Linked DNA regions of Caenorhabditis elegans. The protein of the gene in region 2 purifies or fractionates together with the protein of the main gene of each other region. This does not show direct contact. Each region holds a gene or a part of one and is shown on either strand. Other genes may lie near its edges.

Region 1 (7,667 bases), on a different chromosome or scaffold from region 2:
GAAATAGGAAACGAAAAAACTTTTTTAAAAACGAAACAACTTTGTATTTTTATTCGTAATTGAAGATTTGTTGAAACAGGCAAAAATAAGTGAAATTTGACAAAGCAAAGTTGAGCAAAAAAGTGCAAGAAAAAACAATATTGAAACAAACATTCATATTGTGAATTGATACTTGAAATTAACGGAAGAAAAATCATTGATTGTAAGGCAACATGTTTAACCTCAAAACCCATATTAGCCGTTTCTTCCCTCTATTCCTTACTCATTTATGTGAGAACTGCAGATGTTGCAAACTCGTCATAAATAACTCGTTTGGGTGATGACAGTAATGTCATGTCACATTAAGAAAAGAAATGAAATCATATGAGATATTGAGAAATACATGAAAATTTAGTTCTGCTGAAACGAAAAAGTGCTCATATTTATGAAAACACTCATTCAGATTTCCGAGAATTATGATAATATCACGGAAAGTTTTATTTTAAAAAATGCTCTGTGCCGCTTTTGTCGATACAACTTCTGAAATTTTCAAAACCACCGCGGTGCCTCCCAGTAGGACTTCAAAAATTTATCTACCCATCTTGAGATCAAAACTTTCGAATAATTTTTGGCGACTGTCTTTTATAAATCAGGTTAAACTCCCAATGGATCTTTTTGCTTTGTCGCCTTATTCAAAACAATATCCCAAATAAATGAAATATTGTAGGATTTGTGTGACAGTTAGAAAACTAACTTGTGAGGCGGCAAAAATGACGAATTATTTTCTGTCTAGGGACACTATCCCCACCCGAGAAAAAGTAAAAACGCCGGCGACAACTACAAGAAGGACGAGGACAAAAGTGTTTCTTGTCAGGAGAAAAGAAGGGAAAAGGGTTTGTCAACATACGGAATACTGAAATATTGGTCCCCAGGGAGATCAAAATTGAAAACGGAAGGTTAAGGGAAAAAGTGGGTGGTTATGAAACATTGAGATCTTATTGAAAACCGAGGGAGAGTTAGAAATGGTTTTGACAAAAAAGTGAAAGACAATTTCGTAACTGTAAAATTCCTTGATATCTTGTGGAAATGTACCTGTCAGGGGTGTGAGGTGATCAAATTTACCGTTGCACCCAAAATGGAGCAATTATTTCTAACCTTTGAAGGCTAAAATGTTTTAAAATTTCAAAACAAAGACAGTTTTTCTTCAACTGCAGGCTCGAAAAACCTTGAGAAGTTGGAAATATGTCAATTGATTTGGAATTTATTCTCTAATTCTGATTTAACGTGAAGTTTATGGATACCAAACTTTAAATTTAAAAAAACTACAAAACTTTCTACAAGCATCCGTATCTCTATTTAAAAATAAAACATTTTCTTACATCATGCAATTGTTTCCCAGAGAGCCAACAACCAGTCAAATCTCGGTTTCAGCGACGAAATTTCAAATCAATCACCTAAAAACCAATAACATGTGGTATGCGAGGCTTTTGGATCTTCCGCCCACTTTATCATTCCCGAATCGCTTTTTTTATCTGCAGGTCAGCTCTTTTTTCTGGTTGAATCTGGGCACGAAAAATCGTATATAAAAGAGATAGAATCAGCATGCTTCTGTCATTTTTCCTCAGAGTTTTTCACCTTCTTATTGTGTTTTTATAATCTTTCTTCTTTTTAGAGATGGGTATAAAAACCCTCATTTGGCTGTCAATACTTGTAGTAGGCATATACTGTGAGATAAGTGATGAAGATGCTCCTGTTCATTATTGTTTTGTCAATCCTCCACCGGTAAGCAGCCATAAATGTTATCAAACAAGCAATGTCAATCAGAGTTTCAATTAAAAAATATTTTTTACTAAATATTGGTTTAATAGTTTTGATAATTGTAAAAGGCTCCAAATTGCAGAAAACTCGTCTCTCCCCAAATCTTCTTCAAAACATCACAACGTGCACCCATTTAGTGTATGGAAGTATTCCAATTGATCGAGACACTGGATATCCACAGTACAGTGTATCCGATGTTGAGTCTGGATATGATATTGACAATATTCGAACTTTCATGAGATTGAGAAAATATCATCCAAATGCCAAACTCTTGATGGGAGTTGTTAGAACAAAACCGTTTGAAGACGCGGCTACATCGGTGAAGGTTGCAAACGGGCTCCGATCTCATGTGAAGAGCAAGTGAGTTTGAGAATTTTGGGAAATTGGTCATCACAGCTTTATCAAAACTAAAATTTATTTTCCAGAAGATTCGATGGTTTATTTGTAACTTTCAACGGCATTCACCTTGAGTATCGAGCCTCAACGAGTTTTCTTGAAACGATTTCAAAAGACAAAAAGATGTCGTTAACATTTGGAGTCACAGGAAGAAGAGTTTTTGCATTTGATGCATTAAGACGACTTCAAGAAATCAATGATCTCGTTGAGTATATCTATTTGGATATGGGAGAATTGCCAGTAAGTATTTTCAGTTTAAAAAATGGTTGACTGGAGTTATTTTTAGTCAAACGAGGAACTTGCCAGAGTCACACACATAAATCCACTTTTCTATAATGGATCAATTCCGTTTGAGGAAACAATTCAAGGAACTGTCGAAGAGTAAGTCAAAATATATAGGTGAATTAGATCCAATACGGAATTTTCAAAGTCTGTCTTTTGAAAAATTCCAAATATCACAGTAAAACTTTTTCACTTTGATTTGTGTTTAAGTTATTGTCAAACATAGCCACTTCCTCATTTTTTGCAATTCATAATTTTGGAAAATGTTTTTTTTTTAATTTTACTGTTTCTTATGTTATTATTATCTTTTCATTTATTTTTTTTACCATCCGATGCTTTCAAAATGTTGAAAGAAAGTTACAAAATTCTGCAAAAAATTTTCAAAAAATGTTTAAAATTCTAAAACATTTTTAATAACGAAGGTTTTTACTCGTTTTGTGTATAAAACACCTATTGTCGTAACAATAAAAATTTAAGGTTGTCAAAAGAAGGAATTCTCCCTTCACGTATCGTAGTTGGACTGACTGCTGGAGGATGGAAATTTGAAATCAAAGAGACTCAAGATCCATTAAAAATCTCTCATGGACAATATGCTGAGAATAATGGAAAACGAGTTTCTTATCAAGATGCTTGTAGAGCTAGAGGAGCTGTCATTTATGATTGGCAGACTATGAATGAAATTACCGTGTACCGTCAGACGTGGATGAGTGTTAATCTACCAACAATTAAGGCTATGGGAGAAAAGGTCGTTGCAACTTATGCTTTAGCTCATGAAACCTATTGAATTCCAGATGAAATGGATATTGGGTCAAAAGTTTGCTGGAATTGGTATTAGCCACGCCCTCTTCGATGATCCACGTGGAGACTGTGGTACAGATCCGTTGCCAGCTCATCGTCTTGTCATGGAACTAATTCGTAATACTATTCCTGCGAATCCAGCCAAATGTACAAGACTCTGCTATTTGGATCCGGAGGAGGTTGAGGAAACATTCCCAATTGATAATCTGAAATCTGACTACTGTAGTCATATTGTTGTTCCATACTTCGCCCTTGATCTCTCCGACAAAATGATTGAAGAGGATAAAGCCGAAGATCTGGTGAAGAAAATTGATGATTGGAGAAGCAAAATAGTTGAAGTGGCACCGAGGGTAAGAACTCTTTGAAACCGTTTTCAGATTTCAAAGGAAAACTATTTCAGCTTATTCTTTCTGTCGGATCAAAACAAGCCTCAACAATATGGCAATTCCTCCTTGGAAACGATTTTCATAGAAAAGAACTTGCTGAAGGTCTTGTTAAAGCAATCAATTCAACAAACGCAGATGGGCTTGAGATTTCGTGGACTTCTCAACCAATGGTCAGCGATTTTGATAAGAAGAATTTGAAATCATTTATCAATGATATCGTCGCAGCGGACACAGCAAAGATGGTGGAGATCGTTGTGGCAACTTCACAACAGAGCGCTTATTCGGACTTTTATGATTATGAGCATTTGAACAAGTTGGTTTACTTTAATATAATATTTATTTTAATTCAAAAATTTTAGAACTGCATCACTAATTGTCCTTCACTCTCATCGTCTTCACTCGGATTCTCTTCCATTCACAGGACATCCTTCACCTCTTCGTGCCACTTCATCAATGACTAATCAAAAAATGAGTTGGGAATCGTTGCTCTCTCACTGGGTCGAAAAACGTGTACTCCCTTCAAAACTTGTATTGTCTCTGAGTGCATCCACTTTATCCATGCAATCACTTGCTGATGTGAGAAGCTCAGCTGCAACTCCATTTGGACAATCAGCTTTTGTGTCAATGTTGAGATCGAAAAAAGGAGATATTCATAGTCAGCAGGAGATCTGTGAAAGCCTGAAGTCTGGAACTGGTGTCACTCATTGGGTTGATGGAGCTGAAGTACCATATTTGAGGTAAGTAATATTTTGGGATTTATGGTGAACTGAGCCCTTTGAGAATTTTATTCTAAATTATTTCAAATAAACTTCCCCAGTGTACAAAGCGAAAAAGTTTAAGCCAATTTAATGACATGAGAAAAACTGGAAATTAGTTTCGTATTTCTATCTCAATTTAACAAAATAATATTTTTAAATTTATATTTAAGTATAAATACGGAAAATGATTTAGCAAGTCAATTTCCAGTGGTTCAAGTTACTACCAGGACCAAAATGTGAATTATCACAAAATGCAATAACTTCAGACGATACGATCAAATGGTAGCATATGAGAATACTCGTAGTGCTCACATCAAAGCAGTATGGGCATCAATGGAAGGTGTTGGAGGACTTGCTCTTCACAACATGCACCAGGACGATCCGAGTGCAGTTTGTGATAACCGTACTGCATTCCCCATTTTAAATGCTCTTTCTCGTGCTCAAGTTTGTCAGACTTGCCTGAAACAGCATGACTTCAAAAAGTGTGAACAACACGATTTCGTGGTTAGCTGCAATTTTGAATTGAAGAGGAGCACTCGTAAGCTTTTTTTTGGATTTTCTGATGTGTGAAATTTGAAACAGAAAATTTTATTTTTGAAAAATTTAATATTTTTCAGCTGTTTTCAAAACGGACATTGTCCCATACGAGCGTTGCACGGAAGTTGTCGTTGAGCAGGCAACACTCACTTTAGGTGGAAATGTGAATTTCAATGATGTTCAACAAGAACAAGTTGTTAAGAATTTGGTAAGTTTTCGCACCTGCCTTGTAGTCTATAATGAGTTTTAGACATCATTGAGGTCAAAAATGGTTAAATGTGGAATGGTGCTTTCACTATCATGCGGTGATTCTGAGAAATATTTGAATTCAATTCTTGGTGGTGAGTTTCATTTTACAATTTGTAAATTACAAATTAAGATCATGTTACCTGGAAGAAAAGCTCTTAAACATATTCCTGAAAGCTTTTTCAGTGCATACTTCCAATATTCGATTTTTTTTATTTTTTGCAAACCTATTACGACTTTGAGAGATTTTAAGGTGGCCGAGGATTCTGAAGTTTTTGAAAATGAAACAAAATCTGAAAAATCTTGATGCGGTTGGGTGTCTGAAAATCCAAAAGTTAACTCGTACATGATTTTTATTGAAAAGCATTTGATTTTTGTTAACTTCGAAATTAAGCCCATAACCAATTTTTCCATATTGTAGACAACATGACATTTGCAATTGGCAACGTGATGAATATTATGGAAAAGTACAAATTTTCTGGAGTACAATTGGATTGTGAAAAAGTGATTCGCAGAGGAAACCATGTAATTTATTAGGTTTAAGAATAAATTACCTATGAATCTATTCAGATTTACTTCAACACATTCGTCAAAAAATTGGCACAGAAGTTTGAAAGCGGCAAGGCTTCCAATGGGTGTAACAGGACACTTTCAGCAAGGCAACCTTTTCATAGAGGTTTTTAAAAAGCTATATATCCCATTATTTCAGATTTTCCCATTACACACAAAAGCCGTCAACGTACTACAGTGTATCTCTATTGAATCGTCTGTCTCACATTGCATTAAGAATGACTGATAAACATTCCGTTGATCTTCCATTCTTCTTCAATCACACAAAGCCTGAGTTCCCGTCAACTGAGAAATTTGTGAATATTTGGAAGAATGTGGGACTGAAACCGGATAAGCTAGTTTTGGAACTCTCGCCATTTGGTTGGCAGACTGGAAAGAAAGTGGGGGAGAAGAAGAAAATGACACAAGGAGTTAATTGTGTAACTGCTGGGAATAGAGCTGTCTACGAACATGATTATGAAACATTGACAGGAATGACCAAACATGAAAATGGAACTATCAACATGCCAATGATTGAAGATTTTAGATACAAAGTAAGTTTCTTTTTTGGCATTTATAGCTCCCGTGATGACTGATTTTGAGATCTGGCGAGACCCCACTTAAAAAAATAAAGTTTCACATTTTCACGAAAGTAGAATAAATTACTGTTTTGTTTAAAGGGGGACTAACGGTTCGGACGATTTTGAATAGACTCAACATGGGCTCAAAAGAACAAATTTCGTAATGAAACTTCTCAAAAAATAATATCAAAAATTTTTTGTGGCAGTTCAAAATTTGAAAAAGTTACACTGCTATTAGGTAAAATCTCGTTTTTACCCACTTTTCCATATCGCGGTCCGAAGTTGCCCTTTTTTTGAATTATTGTTCTTTATTGCATATTTTGGTAGTCTATATCATTTAATTTCGTTTATTACAGTACATTTGAAGCCGATAGGTAACCAATTTTGATGATTTTTGGTTACCTATCGGCTTTTAATGTGCCTTTACCGACAAAATTTAATAAGATAAACTTCCAAAATTTGGAATAATGGATGTACAATAATCAAAAATTTTCAAAAATTTTTTGTAAACTTTTTGAAACAGTAATTTTTTTCAAAATTTCTCAAAATGTGATTGTTTTTGAAAATCTGATAATTTTCCAACAATTTGACGGAAAAATTTGCTAATCGTAAGTCTAAAATCTTTTGAAAGGTTCCATTATGATATTCTGTCATGTTGTATTATTAAAAGTTTAACAAAAGCCACATTATATTATAGCTGAAATCTCTACAAATACAGTACATATAATAATTTTTCTAGAAATTCTGGAAATTCTATCAAATTTCTAGGATTTTTTATTCAAGTATTCAAATTTTCAGATTGGTTACATCCAACGTGAACAGCTCGGCGGTATTGCATTGAATGTAAATGGAGATGACTATACTGGAATCTGTGGGCGTGGATCATTCCCAATTCTGAAATCTGTTTATAGTTCCCATAAGTGTCGTTAATTTCTGAAACTTCACAATTTTGATAAATAATTATTTTATTTCGTTTGATATCGATAATGGATGAGTTCAACTCTCCCACACGACCAAATTTTTTTTTACGAAAAAAAAGGGAAAAAGCGGGGAAGGGGGAATTGGGACACCATTTACAAAATATGAATGGTTTTTGTTCAAAGTTCCCAGTGATAATAATGTAGACTTAGTTGGTGCTAGAGGAAGTTCATTTAACTTGGACAAATTAACAAATTTGTTGATTTTGACGGTGAATATTCTGTGATCGAGGAATTCCTTGAACCAGAAACAAGCTAGTCAAGACCGAACTTGGCAAGTTTTCCTAAGAGACTGTGTGAAACTTTGTTAAAGGCTTTAACAAAATCAAAAAATATAATATAAAGAGATTTTTCTTTCAT
Region 2 (4,571 bases):
GCCGGAATTTTTCATTTTCGGCAAATTGCCAGGATGCGTGCAATTTTGCCGCTCAAAAATTGAAATTAAAACTTCCAAAAGAATGTGCAAAACCAGATTGCCGGTTTGCCGATTTGCCGGAAAATGATTCAAACTGTAATTACCTCCATCATAACCTTCTTCTTCATTCTCAAACATCCATATTTCTGATATTGAGCCAATGCAGCTGATAACAATGAAATTACACCTTCATGATTGACTACAAGCCTTTGAATAATTGCTGTAACTGCAGCAGCTTCAACTTCTGCAGTTGCCAATCCTTCATGATTTATTCTCCATGGACGTTGGCCGAAAAATACAGTACTGGAAGAGTTTGCCAATGGATCTGGGGATGGGTATGGCACATTTTGTGGAGCATCTGGAAATTAGAAAATAAACGGGAAAACAATTTCAAAAAGGCACAGTTTTAAGTGTTTCCGTCTTTTTAAAAAATCCCTCTAAACATTTCCGGCAAATCTGATATCCGGCAAATCGGCAAATTGACAATTTGCGGAATTTGTTGACAAAAAAATGTGGCGAACGGTAATTGATTGTCTGATTTTGTAAATTTCCGTTTAGTAGAATAAAAACACATTTTTCAAAATTTTATATTTTTAAAGGCTTCACCATTATAAAAATTTCAAATTAGAACTAAAATTTGGTACATCTTTTCAGAAGTATCAACAATTCGTGCTAAACCTCACTTCTCTTCAACGCAGCAATTTCAGTATTCGCAGCGGAATAAATACTAGCAGCTTGATCCAAATGTGTTCCAGGATTCAAAGTGGCAAGTGCCGATAGTCCGCCGGCAACTGATCTCTCGAATAAATGTGCAAATTGATAACATTGCTTGGATTTCCAGAGCAAAAGTTCAATTGAAGCAAGATGTGGTGTTGGATAGATTCCCGGTGATGAAGAGAAGAATACTGTCGTGTGACGTCGCATTTGATTGATTGCTTCGAGTGCCGTACTGTGGAGGAAACATAATTCGCACATCTGAAAATTTAATTGCAATTAAAATAATAATAATTATGTTATGTTTTATTTAAAGCATATATTTTGTTGTTGATGTGATTTTTTGAACGAGAATTAACGGTTCGGACGATTTTGAACGAATAAACCCAAAATGGGTTCAAAGTTTCGAAAAAATACACTGAATTCAGCTCAGGGGTGCGCGGCAATTTTCGAAAATAAATATAAATCGGAATTTGAAAAAATTTCACCTTTTGCAACCCTTAAAGGATTAAGCCATTTTGAGCTTAAAAAGAGAACATTGTTCAGTAAAATGCATGTTTAAGCTCCTAAAACTACAAAAAGTATCAAATTTATATTTGCGTCAATCGGCAATTTCGGCCATTGCCGGTTTTCAAAATTTCCGGCAATCGGACACCCCTAGTACTAATAACGGAATTCTTGGTTTTCAGCAATCCCTGCTGTACCTTATAATTAAGCAATCCAACAACACTTCTCCACTCAAAAACATCGACTCCATCCCATTGTTCAACTGTATCCCGACATTGATCATAAGCCAATCGATAATTTCTCAATGCTGTATGAGTATCCTGTCTGAGTTCTGACAGAAACGCCAATTTGAATTGTTGTCGTACGACTAACGCCGGCGAGTTATTCGGAATATTTCTAGATCGAATAGTTTTCAATCTTTGTTGATAGAATGCTTGGCACAGTTCATGGAATGCTAGCTCGAGTTTTAACGCGAAATTCTGCAGATTTGTGGTATTCGGAGCCAATAAATTGTCCGCGGGAAGTATGAAAAGTTGTTTTGACGAGAGGGAACATGCTTGGCAAAGTTCGTGAGCTCTGTCTGCTGCCAGATTGTCACTGATGCTTGTTGATCTGGAAAATTGTTGAAATTAAGGGATTTCTCACAGCTTTCTGTGATTTTTTTTGTGAACAATTTAATTTTTTAAAAAGAGTTTCTTCGCAGCTTTTCTATAATTTCTTTTTGATTTCTAGCTCTCAAGCTTTTTTCAAAAAAAAAAGTTTTTTTGAAAATTTCGATTTTTTTTTGTGGTTTTTCTAACAAAATTATAAACAAATCACACTTTTTAGAAATTTTTCATTAAAAAAGCTTTTTCGGGCGTTTTTACAGAAAAATTCACAGAAAAAAGCAACTTTAGTCAGTTTTCATGAAAAATTCGCATGAAAAATGGAAATTTTTGTCATTTTTCAACGAAATTCTATGAAAATTGCAATTTCCTGTCATTTTAATTGAAAACTACAATAAAATCAAAACTTTTAGTCATTTTTATGAAAAATCGCATGGAAATAGTCATGCTCAGCTTTTTCGGGCGTATTTACAGGAAAATTACACGAAAATCACCCTTTTCGGTCATTTTTCCACAAAATTCTACGAAAATTGCCAGTTTCTGTAGTTTTTAATGGAAAATTACAATCAAATCACCATTTTTCATGAAAAAATAACACGGAAATCGGCATATTTAGTCACTTTTTACGGAAATTTCATGGAAATGACCGTTTTTTTTCAGCATTTCCTCACTTTTGCTGAATCAAAACGAGCGCAATTTTCGTCCCATGACGCAGCGATCCTCTTATACTTGCAACTTTGCTCTCTGCTTCAGTCTTCTTCTCTTCCCAAGATGGATGATCCCATTCTAAATCAATGAACACGACAATCAGTGCCGGTACCTTATCCAGATACTTTTGAGGCCACTCACGGCGGAGAATTCCTGGAAAATCGACGTTTTTAATCGATATTTTGTCAGTTTCTGGCACCTTTTCCTGACCCAGTCTCCCGTTTCGGTGGAATATCCAATTCTCCGGAAACTACGCGAATATGAAGTGGTGGTTTGTCGGCTGTGCGGTTTCTAAATTATTTTTGGCGTTTGAGGAAGTTCTTCATGTTTCAATGTACCGGAAGACATTGACGATACTGTTGTGAGCTGGCTTATTCACTGGATTTAATCCCGACAGGAAGACAAGTTGAAGTGGCCGACCGGCTATCCAATCACCTGCTTCTACTGGATCCATCTGCTACAATTGAACGGTTTCTACTATCCCTTCCCCAATAAAAAAGTAGTCCTCCTCCAGATTTGAACCGTTTGTTTTATTATTCACATAAAATTATAACATAGACATTATGCCAACAATTTATTGATTGAAGACATGAAGTTAACAATAACAAGATTTGACGAGGCGGTTGCAGACGTGGACGCTGGTTGCTCAATCAAGCTGAAAAAAAAATAAGTTGACAGATAATAAAATACTTATTTATTTTAAAGTATATTTGCAGTAAGTTCAGGTTTGTTTGCTGATCTTGAACAGGAACTCTAAAAGCTGATGTACCTGTCTTCGAGACATCAATTCTATCTTGCAGACTAAACTAAACGTCGAAAAGCACAGGCATTCGCGTAATGGACATCTGCTCATCCTACTTGAACTTTTAAATATTATTTTAGTTGGATAAGGTTCCTTTTTTGCATAATCTAGTTAAATTTACCTTCTTGAATCCGATGTCTCTGGCTTGCTCGCGGAAGCATCTACGGCAGAGATCGAGGCCGTACTTGCGGATAAGTCCGTGGTGTCCAGCGCAGACGCGGCTGAAAAATTCAGATAAATGTATTTGAAATACACCAAGTTCAGGTTTGTTTGCTGATCTTGAACATGAGCATCAAAATATGAAGCACATGTCTTCGAGACATCAATTTTATTTCGCAAATTTAACTAAACGTCAAAAGGTAAAGAGCCTTTTCGTAATGGACATCTGCATTCGAAATTTTTGATGAAAATAATACTTACCAGGAGCGGGATCCTGGTCCGAACTTGCGTGGGTGAGAGAACCACAAATTTTGGAAACCCATTGTCGAGAGCTGAAATGGAAACAAAATTAACATCTCAGAATGCAAAATGTTTCGAAAAAGCTGTAAACGGAGGAAAAAAGCGGAAAACAAGAAGACGGTGAGAAAAAAAGCGAAATGCGTCAAAAAATCGATAATTAAAGCAACAACAGCATTTTCCGTAAAATTTCGTTATTTTTCGAAATCTTTCCAGAAGAACTAGTTACAAAACTTCTAATTTAATTCTGCTACTTATAATTACGGAAACAATCGTTTTCCTTGCAAAAATATGGAAAATAGATCGAAAAACTTGATTTTCGGCCAAGAGGCAGAAAATACGGGCGATTTTAGCAAAATGTTGACGTTTTTGGTGAGAAAATGCACGAAATTTTGATTTCCAACAAAAAATTCATTTATTTTCGAATTTTTAACAACAAAAAACACAAAAATCCATCGAAAAATAGGCCAAAAGGAAGAAAAACGCAATTTTTGCAGAACACTCCGCCACTCGGGTACGGTCACACTCGTTTCACGTGTGTCAAAGTCGCGGCGAGACCCACACCAAGACTGCTCCGCCTCCTTCGGGTCGTTTAGGAGGGAGGAGCCGCGCTTTTGAATGGAAAAACGACAGGAAAGAACATTTTTGTGCTCCAAAATTTTTTCAGACAAAAAAATTCGAAAAATCTGAAATTTAATTATATTATTCACGATTTTCGTACTATGTAGCGAGAAAACACC
Region 3 (3,372 bases), on a different chromosome or scaffold from region 2:
ATGTTTGGAATTGACATTCGAACGATTTGCCATCAAATTCAGGTAGTTGGTGGCTAATCCTTAAATACTAATTTCTGAATTTTCAGACTGGTGTGGCTACTAGTGTTACAAGTCAATGGGAAGTTCCTGGCGTCGAAGGTCCTCAAGTACTCGTTCAAGGAAATCAAATTCATTTTATCGCTGATCTTCTGATAAAATCGTATGGAATCGACAAGAAATTTATGAAAGGAACCGAGTTGGCGGTGAAAAAGAAGAAATAAGAAAATTTGGAGAAATTTGCAAATTCAAATAGTATTAAATCTGTTCAATGTATTCCCTCACACCTTAATTTTTTTGTTTTGAAATTCGGTCTTTCTTTATTTATTAAATACCCGTGTGTTTCTAAGTATGGGTTGTATTCGTATTTTCGGTTCCATAAAGATTCATGAAGAACTTTCTCTTATCGTTTTGAACATATCCGCTTGGTGAATTATCAGTGCCAATTTAAATATTACACATACGCGAACATTTTCGATTTTCGGGCAGAAAAAAAAGGTATTAGGTCTCGCCACGCTTTTTTTGTGAGATAAAAACGAGGGTGTGCCTTTAAAGAGTACTGTAAGTGTCGAGACCTGGTGCCGCATTTTGGACCCAAGATTTCGCGTCTGGGGGATAAATTGTTCTAAATTTTTAAGATGTTAATCCATTTTCAGATTAAATCAAAATGCCTTCAAAATACATGCAATTGGCGAAGGAAATCATCAAAAATTATGGAACCAAGGGTCAATTCGGATGTGTTTCCGGAGCAGGAAATGTGAGAGCAGTTCATGCGGAGGAAGGAAATCTACGAGTGGAATTTGAAGTTGAGAAAGATCAGTCAAACCATTTTAACACTCTTCACGGTGGATGTACATCTACGCTCATTGATATTTTCACTACTGGGGCTCTTCTTCTCACAAAACCAGCTAGGCCAGGAGTATCTGTTGATTTGCATGTTACGTACGTAAAGAGAGAAGAAAATTGTCGAATTTGATAGATTTTTAGATACCTGACCGCCGCTAAAATTGGTGAGACCCTTGTGCTCGACTCCACCGTCATCAAACAAGGAAAAACTCTTGCATTCACAAAGGTAAACTTTAAGAAAAGTTTTAAAAATATTATTTTTTTCCAGGCAGAACTCTACCGTAAAAGTGATAATGTAATGATTGCAACTGGAGTACATACCAAAGCATTCCCAACTGTGAAGAAAGCAAACTAATCAATATATTCCAAGACATGGAAATTTGCGATCCGTGCGCCAAAAATACGGTATCCGGTCTCGACACAAAATGTTTTGGTTAAATGAAAAAAGGTGTGCTTCTTTGATGAGTACTGTAATTTTAGACTCTCGTTGTTGTTGAAATTTCATTGATTTTTCAACAATTTCCCATCAATTTTCGATAAAAAAAACATTTATTAATTTATTTTAAAACTCCCATACATCAATTAAAACTTTTTTTTTTCAGAAAATCGCGAAAAAAAATCAAGAGTTGGAATTTCCAGTAAACTTTAATGGCGCACACACCTTTTCCCGTTATAAAAAAAGTTTTCGTGTCGAGACCGGCTACCGTGATTTCTGCCCAAAAATCGCAAAATTTCGTGTCTGGAATACCTCCTAAACATAATTCCTAGACACAATTTCTAATTTGATCGTTTTGAAAAACATTTCCCTTGTGTACAAAACTATTATTCCGCAATAAAATTGTAAAGAATTCTTGTTTTTTTTCCAATTTTCCATAAATACTCGTTTTAATCCGAGTACTCTGTACATGTTTTGATGGTAAGAGAATCCACGCAAGTCTACGTGGTTATGAGATTTTTGTTTTGAAACAAATATTTTTAAATCATATATTTTTTCTAAGATTGCTTGAAAATGGCATCAAAATACATGCAAATTGCGAAGGAAGTGATCAAAATGTTCGGGACAAAAGGACAATTCGGTTATGCGGCTGGAGCACGGAATGTGAGAGCAGTTCATGCGGAGGAAGGAAATCTACGAGTGGAATTCGAAGTTGAAAAGGATCAGACAAATCAATTCGAGACACTTCATGGTGGATGTACAGCAGCACTTATCGATTGTTTCACAACTGGTGCTCTTCTACTCACAAAGGAAGCGAGGCCTGGTGTTTCAGTGGATTTGCATATTACGTGAGTATCTATATCTAAATAGAGGTTTCCTAGATTATGCAATGATTTGAAACATATAAGTCTTGCGAACAAGTGCAATATTTAAGCCAAAATTCAGTGTGGGGTCCCACCACGACCGAAATGTTCTCAGCTACGGTACCAACGAACTTTTTCTAATGTTTTCTAATTTTTCCATTCCAACCTTTAATTTAAAACTACAGATTTATTGCAAAACCAACAAAAAAGAGAAATCTACCGTACTCACGAGTACGGTAACTGAAAAGTTTCGCTCATTCTAGTACCCCCATACCTATATTTTAGCTTTATAATCGTTCATTTTCGTAAACTAATAATGCCAGAAATTCAGGAGAAAATATTTATGATCATCGTAACTTCCAGATACTTGACAGCTGCAAACATCGGAGAAACTCTTGTACTCAACTCTACTGTCATCAAACAGGGGCGCTCTCTTGGATTCACTAAGGTATCATATTTTTTTATTCTTGAATATTTCTGATTACAAAAGTGTTTTATTTCAGGCAGAACTCTATCGTAAAAGGGACAATGCAATGATTGCTACTGGAGTCCACACCAAGGCGTTCCCAAAGTGATCGCTCACCATAAAATAAATAATGTTATATGCAAATTAAACTAGAATTATTTTACCATGTATTCCATTTCATTTCAGAAAATAAATATCTTTATCAATATATGTGTTTGTTTGCCATTAAAAAACACAAATATCGGAAGTGAGAGATCATTTGTTGTAAGGATAATGTGTTTTAAAGGCTCCGTATCACACGCCAACGCTCTGAGTTGATGCTCAGTGAAATACCAAAAGTGACGAAGAAGCTCAAAATTCATATTTTTTGGATGCAAATCATAGAAAGAAGTCTTATAAAAAATTCCATTAAAAAATTCCGAACATATCTTGCTGCGGTTATGTTGGAGGCAAGAAAAAAAAAAGAAATCATAATCGCCTTCGATCACTTTTTTTATACACATTGTTTATCATGAAAACTTATTCCAAAACAAGATACCAAAATTCACCACAAATATTCTAAAATTTTCAATTGCCTTATAACCAATGATGGCTGTTTCGAGAAGTTTGTACTTTTGAAGAATCCAATTTCAAGTTCCTCTTTTCCTTCGTCTAGATCCCGAGACACTTTCCACGTCGTTGGTGTTTTCTGGCAACTCTCATTTTTCAGTAAAATCAATAATTCG

The links. Proteins that work in one complex are often made in the same cells at the same time.
Region 1: the proteins of trpp-11 (region 2) and cht-3 fractionate together in Caenorhabditis elegans (co-fractionation; one large-scale study listed by BioGRID). This does not show direct contact.
Region 3: the proteins of trpp-11 (region 2) and C25H3.14 fractionate together in Caenorhabditis elegans (co-fractionation; one large-scale study listed by BioGRID). This does not show direct contact.

What each region holds. Positions count from the first base shown.
Region 1 is NC_003282.8:7,001,972-7,009,638, forward strand, and holds cht-3 (Chitinase-like protein C25A8.4), read left to right. Parts: upstream 1-1,651; 5' UTR 1,652-1,653; coding exon 1,654-1,761; intron 1,762-1,879; coding exon 1,880-2,157; intron 2,158-2,222; coding exon 2,223-2,433; intron 2,434-2,479; coding exon 2,480-2,574; intron 2,575-2,952; coding exon 2,953-3,220; intron 3,221-3,266; coding exon 3,267-3,623; intron 3,624-3,673; coding exon 3,674-3,972; intron 3,973-4,018; coding exon 4,019-4,396; intron 4,397-4,683; coding exon 4,684-4,955; intron 4,956-5,034; coding exon 5,035-5,162; intron 5,163-5,204; coding exon 5,205-5,295; intron 5,296-5,621; coding exon 5,622-5,725; intron 5,726-5,770; coding exon 5,771-5,859; intron 5,860-5,909; coding exon 5,910-6,303; intron 6,304-6,787; exon of another isoform or gene 6,788-6,808; intron 6,809-7,128; coding exon 7,129-7,260; 3' UTR 7,261-7,297; downstream 7,298-7,667. UniProt on the Caenorhabditis elegans protein: Putative chitinase.
Region 2 is NC_003281.10:793,595-798,165, reverse strand, and holds the start of trpp-11 (Trafficking protein particle complex subunit 11 domain-containing protein), read right to left. Parts: upstream 3,031-4,571; 5' UTR 3,028-3,030; coding exon 2,912-3,027; intron 2,865-2,911; coding exon 2,773-2,864; intron 2,727-2,772; coding exon 2,537-2,726; intron 1,873-2,536; coding exon 1,458-1,872; intron 1,015-1,457; coding exon 723-1,014; intron 398-722; coding exon 144-397; intron 1-143. Other genes in the region: rps-29 (Small ribosomal subunit protein uS14), read right to left, coding at 3,220-3,228, 3,497-3,596, 3,796-3,857.
Region 3 is NC_003280.10:5,693,503-5,696,874, forward strand, and holds C25H3.14 (Acyl-coenzyme A thioesterase 13), read left to right. Parts: upstream 1-1,880; 5' UTR 1,881-1,891; coding exon 1,892-2,166; intron 2,167-2,544; coding exon 2,545-2,629; intron 2,630-2,684; coding exon 2,685-2,756; 3' UTR 2,757-2,856; downstream 2,857-3,372. Other genes in the region: eif-2D (SUI1 domain-containing protein), read left to right, coding at 1-42, 87-260; C25H3.3 (Acyl-coenzyme A thioesterase 13), read left to right, coding at 704-978, 1,024-1,108, 1,151-1,237; C25H3.10 (F-box domain-containing protein), read right to left, coding at 3,192-3,372.